Coturnix japonica: one gene and its partner. The protein of the gene in region 2 binds, or shares a complex with, the protein of the main gene of each other region. Links are inferred from orthologs where the notes say so. Each region holds a gene or a part of one and is shown on either strand. Other genes may lie near its edges.

Region 1 (7,506 bases), on a different chromosome or scaffold from region 2:
TGCCTCCTCTCTCCTCCTCGCCGCTGCCGTGCTTGGAGGACACCTCAGGGCTCAGCGAGGCCACGCGGCCGGAGGAACGTCCGTCTGTCCTGCCGGCCTCCAGGAAGCTGCTGGAGGGTAAGAGCCGTTTGTTTTCATTGCTGTGTGCCCCCCTGGGGTCCCAAGAGGTGTGGGGCTGGGCAGTACTGGGATCAGGGTGAGCATCCCACGTACCAGCCACTGGTGGGATCCCTGGAGTCCCATTTTTGGGAGGTACTCAATGGGATTGAGCACACTGGGTTCCTATTGTCCATCTTGTGACCTCAGCATCTCCCATCTTTGCCCACAGCCCCGGAGCCATCCCCACAGAAGGAGAAGACGAGGGGCAGGAAGGTGCCGGCTGGCAGTAAGGGTGCACGAGGGCTGGATGCAGAGGGGGGACCCCGCCGTGCACCCCGGGGCTCAGTGCAGTCTGAATCAAGCTCCTCCAGTGAGGCTGAATTGCCCTACCGTGTCCCCAGCCCTGCTGAGCACCTGCCTGCCATTGCCCTGCTTGAGGACAAGGCAGCGCTGCGGCATGGTCAGGCCAACCATAAAGGTGAGGGGTGGTGTACAAGGGGGGCTTTGGGGTGTTGAGATGAGTGTCAGCTTCACTGTGGCCCTTACAGGATCATGCAATGAGTCTGAGAGCAATGATGAGTCCATCCCGGAGCTGGAGGAGCCGGAGGGAGCAGAGCCACGGCCGATGCAGACTCAGGTAAGGCTGCAGGCTTGGGGACTCTGTCCCTGGGCATCTGGGAGACCATGACACCCCATCTCCCACTGCTGTGCCCCACAGGCGCCGCTCACCCACTCGCTGGGCACCGGGGAGGAGAGCATCAGTAAAGCCAAGCAGAGCCGCAGTGAGAAGAAGGCCAGGAAGGTGGGATGGGTTCTGATGTCCCGTGGCTTTGGGGTGGTGGCGGCACTGGGGTGATCTCCCCGTTCTGTGTCCTCCCATTGCTGGAGGGCTGGGGACCCTGGTGATGTTGGACACAATGTATGGAGCTCAGCCTTGTGTCTCGTTCTTCAGGCCATGTCCAAGCTGGGATTGAGGCAGATCCATGGTGTCACCCGCATCACCATCCGCAAGTCCAAGAACATCCTCTTTGTCATCACCAAGCCTGATGTCTTCAAGAGCCCTGCGTCTGACATCTACATCGTCTTTGGGGAAGCCAAGGTGGGTCAGGGCTGTGGGTGCATCCCGGGGTCAGATAATCCATGGGGACCATTTGGTGACCTTCCTTGTCCCTGCAGATCGAGGACCTGTCGCAGCAGGTGCACAAGGCTGCGGCTGAGAAGTTCAAGGTGCCCATGGAGCACTCCCCGCTGATCACAGACACAACGCCCGCGCTCACCATCAAGGAGGAGAGCGAGGAAGAAGAAGAGGTTGGTGGGAGGCTGCTGTTGGGGTGATGGGAAGCCACCAGTTTGGCACAGGGCTGGCTTAAGGGGTGTTGGGTTGGGTGGTGAGAGGCTACTAGTAGGGTTGGGTGGTTGCCCAAGGGATGACAGCACTATTCCTGCTCCCACAGGTGGATGAGACGGGATTGGAAGTGCGGGACATAGAGTTGGTCATGGCCCAGGCCAATGTCTCACGCCCCAAAGCTGTGCGAGCACTCAGGCACAACAATAACGACATTGTCAATGCCATCATGGTGAGTAGGGGTGTCCTCATTCCTTATGTCTTTGGGGGTACAGTTCAGCCCTGCATTAACGCTGTGCTCTCTCTTGCAGGAGCTGACCATGTAGCGGCCGGCCCCGGCCCCCTGTATAGGTGCACAGTTCTCCTTACCCTGATGTCCCTCCTTGAGCCCCATGCCTCCGCCTTGCCCGCCTCCTAATGCTCAATAAATGGCCTCATGTATCACTTGGATCGCACCCTGCCTCCCTGCGTGGTAATTGGGGTCCTCTCTCAGAGGGTTGGAGGGGTCCTAAGGCCCTGGGAGAGGGGTGTGTAGCCTGCAAGATGGGGAGCAAGTAATTGGGGATGAGCAGTGGCTGGTGGAGCCCTGAGTTCCCCAATCTTTAACCCTTGAGGCTTTTGCATGCCTCATGTTAAATATGACATACTTTGGGGCACAGCAGAGAGGCAGGCGAGGGTTTTAACAAGGAGACAGACCGCAGCCAGGTGCAGAGTTATATTTACCTGTAACAAATACTCCATACAGAAAGCATTACATACAAAACACCCCCGGGGTGTCCCCGGTTCCCCCTATGGTGCTCGGGGTCTTGGGGGCTTGTCATGGTTGGGGGGGAGCAGCAGGTGGGGTTTTGTGGGGGAAACACTCAGTCACCTCAGCGGAGCTTTAACAACCAGTTCTGTCCAGAACTAAATCACATTTCCCAGCAAAGGGGGGGTAAGGGAGGGTATAAAAAAATACCTGTGAGCTGCTACGGCTTCTGCTAAATGCATCTCTGTATACAATCAATCCAAAAATAGGGCTATTCCAGATTTCCTGACGCTGTCTGTGTCGGTGGTGGTGGTTTCTTCTTTATAGACCTGCATGTGTAAGAAGGCACTGAGGACTCAGCATAGCCAGGGTGCTGGAGCAATGCTCCCATGCTCAGTGGGAGCTCAATGCTTGTGCTCCTGACTTGTGAGGTTTTGTTACTTGTTCCTAACCCTGATGCTGCTGCAGGGCTTGCAGCTCTCTTTGCTCTCCTGCTTGTGGTCCTTCTGCTGATAGAGCAGCCTCAAATGGCGAAGGGAAGAGTTTTATGGCCTGTGATTTGCGGCGTGGAGCTGCCTTTTAAAAGGAAGTGCCCCATAGCAGGACACGAGTGTGCACCTTTTAAAGATGAAGCACTGAGCTGTGGGGTCGTTGGGGCTGCAATCCTGGACTGCTGTGCCTGCAGGAGCAGGGTAAGAGGTACCCAGAGGGGCAGAGCAGAGTGAGGGGGAGGATGTAGGGATGAAGGTTTGGCTCTGGTGGGCTCTGTCCCAGCTGTGAAGGGAGCATGGATCCACAATGGGAAGTCATTTGGTTAATGAGGGAGCAGCCTGGGCACTGGGAGGATGGTGACAAGCTTCTGCATGGGGCTGCGGAGGATAAGCAACATGGGAAGGGCAGTGGGAGCTGTGGGATGTGTTACTGCAGTGGAAGCAGTGCAGGATGCAGACGCAGCCCTGCACAGGACAAAGCACAGAGGAATGTGCTGGAGGGGCTGGATTTTTCCTGCAAAGTGCTGAGCAAGTGTCTGGGTTTGGGTGCTGCAGAGGCCAGCCAGCTCCAGGCAAGGGCACAGGGATACCTCTGTGTCCCTGTGTTATACATAACAGAACCACCCCTACTCCTCACTGCATTTGGTCCTTCTTCCATCCCACCTCCTTCACAGGATGGTGCTGGAGGTGCTTTGGGCAAGGGCAGGGCTTTGGGGGGGTACAATGCTGAGCGCAGCAGCACTCATGAGTATGAAACAAAACAGGGACAGTCCTTCCCTAAATGGGCTGCAGCCTGTGCTTCCCCTCATACTCACAGCAGTGGGCAAAGAATAGGAAGCTCCAGTTCTACGACCTGCTCAAGCCTGTGCTCTCTTCCTGCTGCTTGTGTTTCTGTGCTGACTGTGGTTGCTTCTACCCCAGCTCCTGTGTGCCCAGCAAGCAGAGCTGCGTGCCTGTGGGTTCTGCCAGCACCTCCCTTCAAGCAGGATTGCTTCCTGGGCAAGGGATATAGATTAAAAAAATAAGTGTGTATTTATAACCACGTGTAAAATATTTACAATATGTACACCGTGTGCTGGAGACCCCATTGTGTTTGTCCAGGAGCAGCTCTCACCTCCATGGGTGTGTGATAATGTCCTTGGGGACCTCAGGAGCCAGCAGAGGCTTTGTGTCACCTCCCACGACTGTGAACGTGGGACAGGCGCTGCCTCCATCCTGCCAACTGCTGGAGCAAAGGCAAGGAGTGGGTCGGGTGGTGTTTGTAATCCAGGCTCCCTGCAGGACAGAAGTGAAAGCACAAAACTGGTGAGCCCAGCTGGCTGCAAGCTGAGGATGGAGTGGAGGGGGGGAAGCAGAGCCCCTGCAGGCCTGGATGCAAAATGCTGTGCCAACTGCAAGGCTAGGCTTAAATAATTCACATTGTGGTAAACTTCATTCAAAAGAGGGGAGGAGGAGAGCAGTTACAAGAAGGACACCATGTGCAAAACTGTAAACCAGGGAGGGAGAGGGCTGTAGGCAACCTTTTCCATACAGGGCTCTCCCAGCCTTGCTCCCCACTCGGCTGACGGAACCAGGGAAGGCTGGAGGATGGGCTCCTGCCTGGCTCCTCCTTTGCAGCGTGCCTGTGGCAACGCACACCTTCACAGTAAGAGGGCACAGATGGCCGTTGGTGTGGATGGGAGAGTGACTACATCCTGCTCCACCCCAAAAACCTCTTTGGAAACGAGGGTCTGTTGGGCAGGTGCTGTTGAAGCCGGCTGGCTCTCAGGAGGAGTCGCGGTCCATGCTGCAGCCCAGCGCCTCGATGTCGTTGCTGATGTGTGAGATCATCCGGTCCCACTCGTCCTCCTCTGAGGGCACAGACTGGTCATCAGAGCTGCCAGCTGCGCCATTGCCATTGGTGGTGGAGTTGGAGGTGGTGCTCAGCGTCCGCCTGTACCTCCCAAAGCTGTCCGTGATGATGCCACGGCCGTCCTTCACCCCGATGGTTTCCAGGAAGTTCTCAAAGTGTTGGCTGTCCTTCTCAGGAATGAAGGGCCGCAGGCCTTTCCCAGGGGAGCAAAGACAAGGAGGAGAACATGAGCTGCTGTGTTTCATGCAGGTAGGGGTTACTAAAGGAGCTCGTTTTGGGGTTCAGGCTCTGAGCAGTGCTTTTTGGGGCTGCTGGTGCTCCCATCTCGTGGCTGTGTGTCATGATGACAGCCCCAAGAAAGGCAGATGTGTATAAGCCAAGGACAATTCCTGGGCCTGAAGTGGGATTTCTGAGCTCAAAAGGATTGTCTGCGACTTCATCACTGAGCCATATTGCTGGGCTTTGCTCATCTCGTTAGTGTAACAGCATCAGCGTGAGATTAAGGCCCCCAGCAGAGTGCATGCGGAGCACTTGGGGGCCATCTGTCTGCATCCCTGCACCCTGCTGTGGGCCAGCATCACACACTGGGCACTGTCACCACAGGGTCACAGCATGGGGTTATGAAGTGAGTGGCTTCATTATAGCAGCCAACACAGCTCTGTCTCTGGCAGTTTCTGGGCGTGCTACTGACTCCCCTCGCCTCTCCCAACCCCACCTTTAGGGCCACAGTGATTTCCCCTCCCCACCAAGGGAAGTGTACACCTGAAAACTTGCAAGGCCTCTGGTAGGGGCTGCAGGAGGGAGTTAAGAGCTCTGTGATCTTTAAGGTCCCATCCAACCTAAGCCATTCTATGATTCTTTACAGGAAAGCTGAGTCTAAACTGCTTTTCAGCAGTGTAGTCAGTATAAAATCAGCCTCCCAGCACAGGGATTGTGTTGTGTGTTGGCTTTGGTAATGGCGACATAAAAAGCAAGCAGGCTGTGTGCATAGGGATGAAAGAAAATGCTTTTGTGCTGGTGCAGATGCCTGACTGCTTCTGTGTGCCCAGGACAAAAGGAGTGGAGGCCACGCAGCCCCCCCTCCCTGTGTTGTTGAGTCACTCTGACTGCTTTCAGCAGCTCTCTATCTAAATGAGAGCAGCAGCAGGCATCCGTGAGTGAGAGCTGAGGCAGGGCCCTGTGCTCAGCCCTGAGGTTCCTTTGCTCTCTGCCATTAATGTTGTTTCAGATTATTAGAGCCAAAATGAAAGCAAGGAGCTTGAGTTGAGGGACTCTGAGAGCCTCTGAGGCAGTTGGCCTCCTTTTAGTGAAGGGAAAGGAAATGGTCCCGCTTGCCTCCCAAGAAATGGTGTCAGCATGTGTCTGCTGGCACTGTACTTGGTGCACACCTTCCCTCCATGACTGTAAGGACACGCTGTGAGAGCACAGATCCTCAAGGCATCTCATCAGTCCAACTAGCTGAACACCCAAATTGTACTGTTTAACACCTCACTGCTTGGCCAAGGACATCGAGTGCTACCACTAAGCCACCAAACCAAGGTATCAGAGGAGCCAAGGAGCTCATCTGGAAGCCTAGATGACAACCAGCAGCAGGCAAAAACAAAGCCAAACACAAAGGGAAGACACTCACCCAAGAGCAGGAACTTCCTACTGTCCCCATAGAGCTGCTTCAAGTTGATGCAGAACTCGTGTATCGAGGCTCCGTTGCGATATTCGTGCAGGAGCATTGCAAACTGCTGGATCTCTTGGGAAGAGAGCTTTGTTCGTAGCTGAGGACATAAGCACACCACAAATTGTGCTGATTTTTTTTTAGAGCACTCTTTGAGTTCTGATGAGATGGGAGGGAGAAGAGATGGTGGGAAGCCTGGGAATGGGGTTTGCTTCTATTGTGGTGAGAACCACTGAGCTGCAGTGATGAACTCAGCAGGGTGGGATGGTGCAAACTGCCCTGAGCTGCCAGCTGTCCAGCTTTTTAACTGGGAAAAGCTGTAAGCACACTGCAGAAGTGCAGGTCATGAAGCGATGGACATGGGAACACTGTGTGTGCCCCATCACAGTGAGAGGGGACAACAAGGTGCAGGTGCTTTAGAATGGGAAAGATGAGTGCCTGCACTGGTCTCCAGGCATGAGTTCTTTGAAAGGGTGATGCATTCCTTCACCAGCGTGGACAAAATCACATCACCTGCAGGGCCCAGACAATGCTGGAACCAACAGGGAGGAGCTCAGACGATGCCAAGGGCACAAATGTGCTCCCATGAACACCAAAAGGGAAGAAAACCTTCCCACCCTTCCCTATGGGCAGACGTAGCCTTGAGGGCACCCTACCGTCATCATGTAGTCCTGGAGCAGCTCTGTGGCTGTAGTGCTCAGCTCGCTCTCACTGATGGTTTTGATGTGTGGAGACTGTTGTGTCAAGAAGGAAGAGGGAGAGTTGTCACCTGCATCCAAGGTTTCTGGAAAGGAACTGAAACACAAATGGCTTGTGAGCTATCCAGAGCTCCTTAGGCACCTCCTGCTGAGCACAGCATGGGAGAGTCTAGGGGAGTGGTCATGTGCAGCACAGAGGGACTGTCCCTGTGATGTGTAGAATATGAAGCCCTACAGGGGAAGAGATCCCCTCCAATTGCTTTCTCATTTCAGACCAATGGGGAAAGAGGTCCCCAAACACCTTATTCTGGTGTTAAATTTGAAATTCTCAGATTCTCAACAGGGAACAACCCGTTCATGCATCAGGTTTTCAGCCCACAGATGCTTCTGCCATTTCCAATGGTCACTGATTCAGGAGGAAGAAACATGACAAAGCAGCTCTGTGAGCTCTGCTCTGCACACATGATCTTCCCCAGAAAGCTGCAGTAACAGAACAATGCAGCCAAGGATGCTGAGGAGGCAGGACCACAGTCCTGCACGCAGACAGATAGCAAAAATGCTATCAAATGATCCAACCAGGCTGATCAGAAACTTTCCAAAGTGC
Region 2 (8,290 bases):
CCTAAACAAGAAGGGAAACAGGAAGGAAAGAAGAAATAGTACATCTGATAGCAAGGAGAGGATGCTCTTTGAGTCAGACAGGTATGCTTCAGAAAGTGCTACCAGAATAGAACGTATGATGGCACAACGATTAAGAGCTTGGGAAAAGATGCCAGGAGCTGAATCCCAAAGGGCTGCTCCAGTCTTCCTGTGCAACTTCTAACCAGTCACTGGCTCTGTGCAGCACTCTCGTAATCCCTGTTTTCATGATTAATTTCCTTTTCTTCCTTTTTTGCAGTGTGACAGCATTAATCACCTCTGTAAAGTTCCTTTAAAACAAATGAGCTCACTATGAACATGGATGCTGCTGGGGAGTCTGGGTGAATACCTATGCTGATGATACATAAGATACCTTCAAGCAGTCTGAACAACTTTATGTTGAATTAAGTGTGCTTTGTTGTTGCTGTTTACAGAAATGAAGCTTCTTTTCTGGAAAAAAGCAGCTTGAAAAGGATGTGGGCAAATCTGGGTGGAAAACCACAGACTATCATCTTGTACTGCGGTGTTACTGTAAAATGAATAACCTCATTTTTATGCTGAAAATTTGCATTAAGCAGGGAGTAAAAGTGAAAAAAGAATTATTCTTACTTTACCCCTGAAGATATATTAAATGGGCACCTGCTAAATTTCCATGGTAGAAATGTAGCTGCAGTTCAGGAAAGGTACAGCAGCTTGTCCAGGAAAAATAATGTGAGGAGGGAAGTCTGCAGTGCCCCCCCCTCAAACAGCCTAATGGCACTTGTATATAGGCAGTGTTGTGATAATGTCTCTAAAAAGAGAATAGAGATGCAAAACAGCAGTTTTTGTCTGCCTGTGTGTGTGTGTCAGGCTAGATAGGTGTGTGGAGTAATGAACCATTAAGGACAAATCGTTCTGTTTTCAAAGGAAGAAAAAAGCTTCAGTGAAATCCAGGCTTTCTGGTTAACTGGGGATGGAAGGGGCACATTGCACTGGGGTGCCCATCTCCTGCCATCTGCTGGGGTCTCCTGGCTCATTGACACGGGTAGCAACTAGCAAGCCTGGTATCTGTTTAAGTAAAGCAGCTTTCTGCACAAAGGGCTTCAGTGGGTTTCATGTAGCAGGACTTTGGCTGAGCATTTTGTATGAAAACATGGAAGAATTGGAAGACAGATGAAAATACTGAAGGGTAAAGTGACTATAGTGTGTTTTGACATCAGAGCTGATGCACTAGGGAATTAATCCTGAGTTTCTCCACTTCTAGTGCTGCAATTAATCATTAAAACCTTTCTATAATGACCTTGGCACACAAGAAAAAGAATCAAGTGTGATAATTAAATGTGGTGATGAACAGAAGTGGGGAGCTTTCCTAATACAAGGGAACTAGAACATCTTAGGGAACTGATGGCTTTGAAGAGTGAGAAACAGGCAGGAGGTGAAATTCAGCAGCAGAAAGTGTGAAGCTGTGAATGTAGATGTGAAGGAAAGGAGGCTGGATTTATTTAGTAGTTAAATGGTAGCAGTGAGTGTGAAAATGCATTTAGAAAGATTGGTCTAATGGCAAATATGATGATGCTGTCATATAAAAGAGAACTAAAATTAGAATAGAGGCCCAAAAAAAGGCTACCAGGAAGGCACCACAGAGACTGTGTTATTAGAAGAGTTAAAATGGCTTACTCATCTATTAAAGTGGAGCCTGAAATGGGATATGATTATCTTCTTGATGTATTTAGAGAGAAAACACCAGGGAAGAGGAAAGGATAATTTAAGTGAAAGGATAATCTTGGCATGAAAACAAACAGCTGGGCACGAATGTACAGGAAAACTAGAAAGAGTTTTGTAATTTCAGAGTGATACAAGAGATGCTAAAAATGAGCCTAAACACTGGTAATGTTGGGCTGTGTTTTCGGATGGGAACTTGAAGGTGATATGTGTGGAAACCCTCTGCTCCAAAACCAAAGGCAGGGCTGAGATGATTGGCTCTGTGCACAGCTTCTGGCCCTTGATGGCTCAGATCTGTTGATCTAAGCATTCCTTTACAGATTGATTTGTCTGTCTCATTTGGCGTAGCAGGATCTTTTCATTATCCCAGATAACATCATCATGATTTGGTGATGCCCTGAACTCTTCCTGGCCCTCACTTTAGGCAATTTTTCCTTTCCAATCCAGTTTTCCTTCCTGTGTTTTCCAGCTGATGCAGCCTCTCAGACATGAAAACATTTAGAAAACAACACGCTTGCTGTTAGATGTCTGCTGGATAGACAAGCAGCTGCTGAAGCCATCTGCTCAAGGTGGGATTCCCAGCAGCAGGGTGGCCATCATTGCATTGAGGAAGGAGAGCTGGACTTGTTCTTAATGAAACAAAACCCCTCTGCTATGCCAAATACACCCCCAAGGTGGAATGGAAGCAGGGCAGAGCAGCTGAAGGCTGGCTGCTGTTTTTAGAAGATGAGTTGATTTATGGAGCTTGAGGTAGAATTATTAGCTTAGATTGGACAGGAACAGCAGTTCTTTGCCCTAATATCTGTCTCATGGCATGTTTGTGTTGTGTTTAGCAGGGATGTTTTCTGCTTTATGGGCACAAGGGGAGGTGGCAGCTGGGAATGTTAAAGGAGGAAGAGCCATCAGGAGCCCATCAGCAGGTGAATGAATGGCACAGGTGAGCAGTTCTATTTCTAAGGACACAACAACCACATCCTCATTAATATGAACCCCTAAATGAAAGGAGAGGGGTTGAGTGAGCTCCAGCCTCGTGTACCTAAAGCTCATCCATGTGGATTTACTTTCATACCAAGTAACTTCAACAAAGGCACCGTGCCTTTCCCCATTTCCCCCCTGCCTTTCCCCCCTTCCCCTTGCCTTTTTCCCCCTTCCCCTTGCCTTTTTCCCCCTTCCCCTTGCCTTTTTCCCCCTTCCCCTTGCCTTTTTCCCCCTTCCCCTTGCCTTTCCCATCCCATATTGAGCCCTTAGGGAGAAGAGCCGGGAGCGGTGGGCACTAGGACCCAGCGGCGCAGTCCGAGCGGTGGGCGGGGCCTCGCTGCCGCCCGTCATTCTGATTGGCAGCCGGCTGAGGGCCGGTCCCCTCCGTTGGCGGGCGAGGAGGCGGGGTCAGCGCAGCGAGCAGCACGACCCCCAACGATTGGCTGGCGACTGTCTGAGCGGCGAGCCGATTGGCGGGCTGTGCCGTCGGGTGGGTGGCTCGGCGGCGCTGATTGGCTGAAAGCGGCGGGTCGGCCCCTGTGATTGGCAGGCGGCGGCGGCGGGTGCGCGGTGGCGGCCGAGCGGTTTGTTTTGCTCGCGGCCCGGTCGCTCGGTGCCGCCGGCGGCGGGTGGGGAGAGACCGGCACCGGCCGAGTCCCGGCCCCACAACCCGCAGCCCGGAGCGGGGCCGCCGGAAGGAGGCGGCTGTTTGGGCCTGGGAATGTGGCGGCGGCTCTGAGCCCTCCCCCTCGGCCCGGCCGCCATGGAGAGACGGCGGTGACAGCAGCGTACCACAGCGCGCCGCCCGCACGGAGCGGGCCCAGAGCCCACAACCATGGGTGAGAACGGGGGGTGAGCGGGATGGGGGCGGCTGTAGGATCGGACAGGACTGGGCCGCGATTGGGATGAGGGGCGGGGGCGGGACGAGACGGGGCGTCGCCTGAGGGAGGGGGGGGAACGGCCGGGGGGGCCTTAAATCTGGATGTTGGGCTTAGAAAGTCGGGCTGGGGGGTCTTAAATCCTCGATATTGGCCTTATAAAGTCGGGCTGGGCTTTGTGGTGTTGGTACCCGATTCACTTTTTGCTTTTCAGCGGTAAACGATGTAGTTTTTCTAAAGCAAGATCAGGTTGGACGGGGCCTTGAGCAACTTGATCTGTGGGGTCTCTATGGGGATCTGTTGGGATCTATGGGGTCTCTATGGAGTCTATGGGGATCTATGGGGTCTCTGTGGGGATCTATGGGGTCTCCTGGGCAACCTGATCTAGTAAAGGTGTATGTTTGGTGGCCCTGCTAGGCAGGGGGGTTGGAACTACATGATCCTTGAGGTCCCTTCCAACCCGGGTCACTCTGTGATTCTGTAAAGCAGAACTGACTCATTTGCTGGCAGGGGAATCACTGCTGTTACCTGCAGCGCTTTGTGGGCCGTAGCTTTGATTCTTCCTCCAAGTTTGGTGCTGTGGGACTCCCTCAGCGTTCAGTCTGTGCATGTAATATGTTCACTTCTTTATATTGTAACTGCATTGCAAACGTCACTCCAAGCAAATGCAGGATGTTCCGTTCCCTTTGTGCCCTGAGACGATCCCAGGCACAGCAAGACCTACAAGAAATGCCTATTGTATAAATGCAGTAGATGGGCAGGTCTATAAGTGGGCTCCTCTTCTCTAAAGAGAGATGTCTGGTGTTCCCCAGGCAGTGTTATCTCTGCAGGAGCCAACCTGATGGTGCAGAACTCACAGCAGCCAACCAGGAGGGTGCAGAGCTTCCATGGAATTGCTTTGTGGGGCTGTTGGATGCCTCTTGATAAACACGTGAGCACGGGATGAAGAAGAACAGTTCCACGGTCGTGTTGTAATGGCAATACTGATTGCTTGCAAAGGGAGAGATCCAAACTCATTAGGCTGTTGTGAGCAGATCTTTTAGAGACTGTTTTGCTGTGACCCTGAGCTTTCTCCCACCTTGTTTCTCATGAGATTCTCTGACAGATGAGTGCTGCCATTGAGAGGTCAGTGTTGCAGGTTGCTGAGCTCCATTGATAGAACCACAGCTCGCTGGCACTTCGCAGAAAGGGCAGTCATTTCCAAACCTGTGCTTTCCAAACAGAGCTCCTCAGCAGCAATAGGCTCACTTGCTTCTAATACAGAGAAACGTGAGTGTATGTGGGAAGCAGAGGGGAGGAGCAGCACTCAGGCCCAGAGTGAAGTGCTCCTTGCAGTCCTGCTGCTGAGGCTCTCCCCGGCCTGCTCTGCTTTCCTGCCTGTGTCACTTCCTTCCCTTAGCTCTCATTGCCTGGCGCTGTGCAGTGACAGCCCCCACTGCTGGGGGAGGGAGGGGGCTGAGCCCAGGGTCGGTCAATGCCAGCTACAATCCTCAGTGTGAGGAATTTCTCAGTGTGAAGAACCTCAGATACATATCCCAGCTCCATAGGGATGCTCAGCTTTTTCTTCTAAACCTTCAGGCCAAGTTTTCTGTTTGAAATAAACTTGCTCGTTGCCCCTGGTTCTGCTGGCAGAATAGCCAGCAGCATCGCTGTTGGTGGCAGCAGATAACAAATGCGTGTGTTTGCTTTTCTCAAACAACTTCTAGTGCCTTCTATTATCATGCTATATAAAATACCATCCTGGATCATAGAGGTTTACAGGCTTTTCTGCACTCTGCAGACGCTTTTACTTTGGGGTTTGTTTGTTTTTCTTTAACCCTATTCCTGTTTTGTACCACTGCAAACACACCGACCTGCTCGACCCCGTGGAGCAAACCCTGTACGCGTGGAAATAAACGCGTTATGAGGATGAAGGGTTTTCTCTGTGAGCAGCAGTTCCCCTTTATCCGATGGTAGAAAACCCGTGAGTGTAGTTTTTCAAACATGAGAAGCATTTCCTGGACAACATCTTTGAGCACAAAGCAGAGCTGTGTTTCCCAGACCTACTGGAGACGTAGCAGCAAAGGGTCCTTCAGTGAGCTTCCAAAATTGCTTATTTTTCATTCCTAATAACTTTTGCATTGTGTGATTAATGTGATGCTGCTGCATATACTCCCTTAAAGCCAATCTGTGCAAATCCTCTCTTTGGATGGAAAGAAAGAAGTATTCATGCTTGGTAACATTAAATCCATCACAATGTTGTCCTGAATGGAAACATTTCTTCCTTTGGCAAATGTGTATTTCACACCGATTTTGTGTTAAAAAATGATAAATACTCTGTTTCCCACCAAAACAAGGATGAATTCTCTTCTGTATATTGTCTGAGGGAGATGGTAGCCCAGTCTGTGATACTAACATCACATAAGCTCCACCTGCTGCTGCGTGGCATAGCGTGGCTGTGTGCTGTAAGATCATAGCATTAGTGCTTGCCTGCAGGTGAATGGAGCACCCAGCAGTGCTGCGACCCTTCCTGCTCACCAGGGGGTTCTGCTGCTACCCAGGTGCTGCCATGAAGAGTTTCACGTTGCAGAGTTGTGTCAGTGCACAAGTGAGCTAGTAAGTAGTTGCACATCTAAGCTGCAGCCTGCATCAGGAGGCTGTGGATGCCCCATCCCTGCAGGCATTCAAGGCCAGGCTGGATGTGGCTCTGGGCAGCCTGGGCTGCTGGGTGGTGACCCTGCACATAGCAGGGGGTTGGAAATGGATGAACATTGTGGTCCTTTTGAACCCAGGCCATTCCATGATGTGATTCTGTGATATGATTTTGTGATAGGAGGCAGATAGCTGCTCGGACACGTGTCTTCTCTGCCCACTTCCTCCAGCAAATGAGAGACTTTGAAAATCAGCCGACGTGAGCACAGCCTGGGCTTTGGCACCAACAGCTTGTGAGTGCATCTCAACTGCTGCTCCTTGTTTTGGAGTGAGGTGCCATGGTGTTCAGACCAATTTCTCATTCATAAACGTATTCTTTGATTGACTTGATTCCGTGTTATGAGCACCCAGTTAGAAGCTGTTTTCATAGCTGTTTTGCTTGCCCAAAGGAACCCTGACCGTCTGCCAAGACAAGCTCTTCTTCATCCTCCTGGTAGCCAGCCAAACCCAAACTGTGCTGTAGTGGAAAACTTGCATCCCTGCTCCTCACATTGTGCCTTGGGTGCTGGGAGCTCAGCAGTTCACCACTCCATCGTTGTCACGGTTTGTTATGCGGAGGTGCAGCCCCTATTGGCTGCCTTGCTCAAAGATTATGCTCAATACCAAACAAGAGGAAGGAATGAGAGTAAATTGGAGATGCTCCAGGGAGGTAAAAGGGGAAGCGTTCAGATGTAAGGTTGAAAACATTTTTTTTGTTAATAAAAAAATAAAAAGCATGCTGTGCTGAGAGGAGAAGGCTGTGGGGAGACCTCATTGTGGCCTTCCAGTATTTGAAAGGAGTGTATTAGCAGGAGGGGGAATGGGTGTTTGTGAGGGTGGGCAGTGATAGGACAAGAGGAATGGTTTTAAATGGAGACAGAGGAGGTTTAGCTTGGATCTTAGGAGGAAGTTTTTCACCCATAGGATGGTGACGCACTGGAACAGGTTGCCCAAGGAGGCTGTGGATGCCCCATCCCTGCAGGCATTCAAGGCCAGGCTGGATGTGGCTCTGGGCAGCCTGGGCTGGTGATTAGCAACCCTGCCCATAGCAGGGGGTTGGAACTGGATGAGCACTGTGGGCCTTTCCAACCCAGACCATTCTATGGTTCATTCACAACCTTTTTTTCACATTTTTCTCCCACAAGGGGTTACGGAGTGCTGAGATGGATCCTAGCAATTATTTCCTTTGGCTGAAGTGCTCTTCAAAAGCAACCTCTTCTTTTGGTTATGTTACTTACACCCCTGCTATAAGAGACAGTGTAGTTATTGTCCCATCTGGCTTGTCTTGGAAAGCAGCGATTTGGGGCAAATGGGATGGGAGAGTTCTTTCCATCCCCATCTCCAGCCTGGCCTGCTTGTTGTTGCTGTTCTGATGGCAGTGCTCAGTAGCGCTCACATCAGCTCGAGCATATCTTTGAATTTATATAACCTGATCAGCTTTATCTCTTAATAAATGCTACAGTGCCTTGTCGAAATCCCGTAGTAGCCCATAATAGGCTTTTTCTCAGTGATGCTGGGAGCAAATGTGAATGCAAGATCTCAGAGTGTGGGCTCCAAAGTGAGCTTCAGCTCTGAGCAGCGCTGTGTTGCATTTATTGATTCCTGATACGATCAGAATCATTGAAACCATGAATTTGTTTGTTAATAGTCCCTTGAAGCCCCAGAGCTGGGGAACTCTGGTATCTGGTCTGCTACACATGAAGAGGTTCCAGAATGAGCTCAAACATGCTGCTTGGATTGAAAATGCCTCCTGTTGTTCACCTTGTGTCCCTTCAGCGTGTCAGAGCAGCATCAAGCTCCAATGCTATCAAGAAGGCTGGGTTTAAATTAACTAGAAGAGGTTTAATGGGAGTACAGTCCTGTTTTTCTAATGGTTAAACAATAGCTCTTACCTTTGGGGGAGGAATAAAGCTGCCTCTCAGGAAAAGTTAAGCAGAGGAGGGCTTGCATTGCCTTGCAGCACATGGTGAAGGTGCAGTGGAAGCACTGCTGCTCCTTGCAGCACTGAGTGACCTTCTAGGCAGGAACTGGGGAGAAAGCCAGTG

The links.
Region 1: the proteins of MAP3K3 (region 2) and CCM2 are in contact, whole or in part, in a crystal structure (PDB 4Y5O), measured with the Homo sapiens proteins. The link is inferred for Coturnix japonica from reciprocal best matches to the Homo sapiens genes MAP3K3 and CCM2. Residues at the interface, in NP_002392.2 of Homo sapiens: Asp2, Glu3, Gln4, Ala6, Leu7, Ser9, Ile10, Met11, Asn12, Asp13, Leu14, Val15, Ala16, Leu17, Glu50, Asp82, His84, Met86, Asn88, Glu89, Leu90, Ser91, Ile92, Leu93, Arg117, Leu119, Leu121, Ser122, Gln123, Asp124; in NP_113631.1 of Homo sapiens: Leu299, Tyr302, Met303, Leu306, Arg307, Ser312, Gln313, Ile315, Gln316, Gln317, Phe318, Ala319, Ala320, Leu321, Leu322, His323, Glu324, Arg326, Glu333, Ile336, Asn337, Gln340, Leu341, Leu353, Phe356, Pro358.

What each region holds. Positions count from the first base shown.
Region 1 is NC_029517.1:3,578,781-3,586,286, forward strand, and holds the end of CCM2 (cerebral cavernous malformations 2 protein), read right to left. Parts: intron 7,000-7,506; coding exon 6,861-6,999; intron 6,305-6,860; coding exon 6,166-6,304; intron 4,729-6,165; coding exon 4,448-4,728; 3' UTR 2,145-4,447; downstream 1-2,144. Other genes in the region: NACAD (NAC-alpha domain-containing protein 1), read left to right, coding at 1-117, 329-577, 648-736, 818-901, 1,052-1,198, 1,276-1,407, 1,554-1,676, 1,756-1,770. UniProt on the Homo sapiens protein: Component of the CCM signaling pathway which is a crucial regulator of heart and vessel formation and integrity. May act through the stabilization of endothelial cell junctions. May function as a scaffold protein for MAP2K3-MAP3K3 signaling.
Region 2 is NC_029542.1:2,176,832-2,185,121, forward strand, and holds the start of MAP3K3 (mitogen-activated protein kinase kinase kinase 3), read left to right. Parts: upstream 1-3,246; 5' UTR 3,247-3,532; coding exon 3,533-3,536; intron 3,537-8,290. UniProt on the Homo sapiens protein: Component of a protein kinase signal transduction cascade. Mediates activation of the NF-kappa-B, AP1 and DDIT3 transcriptional regulators.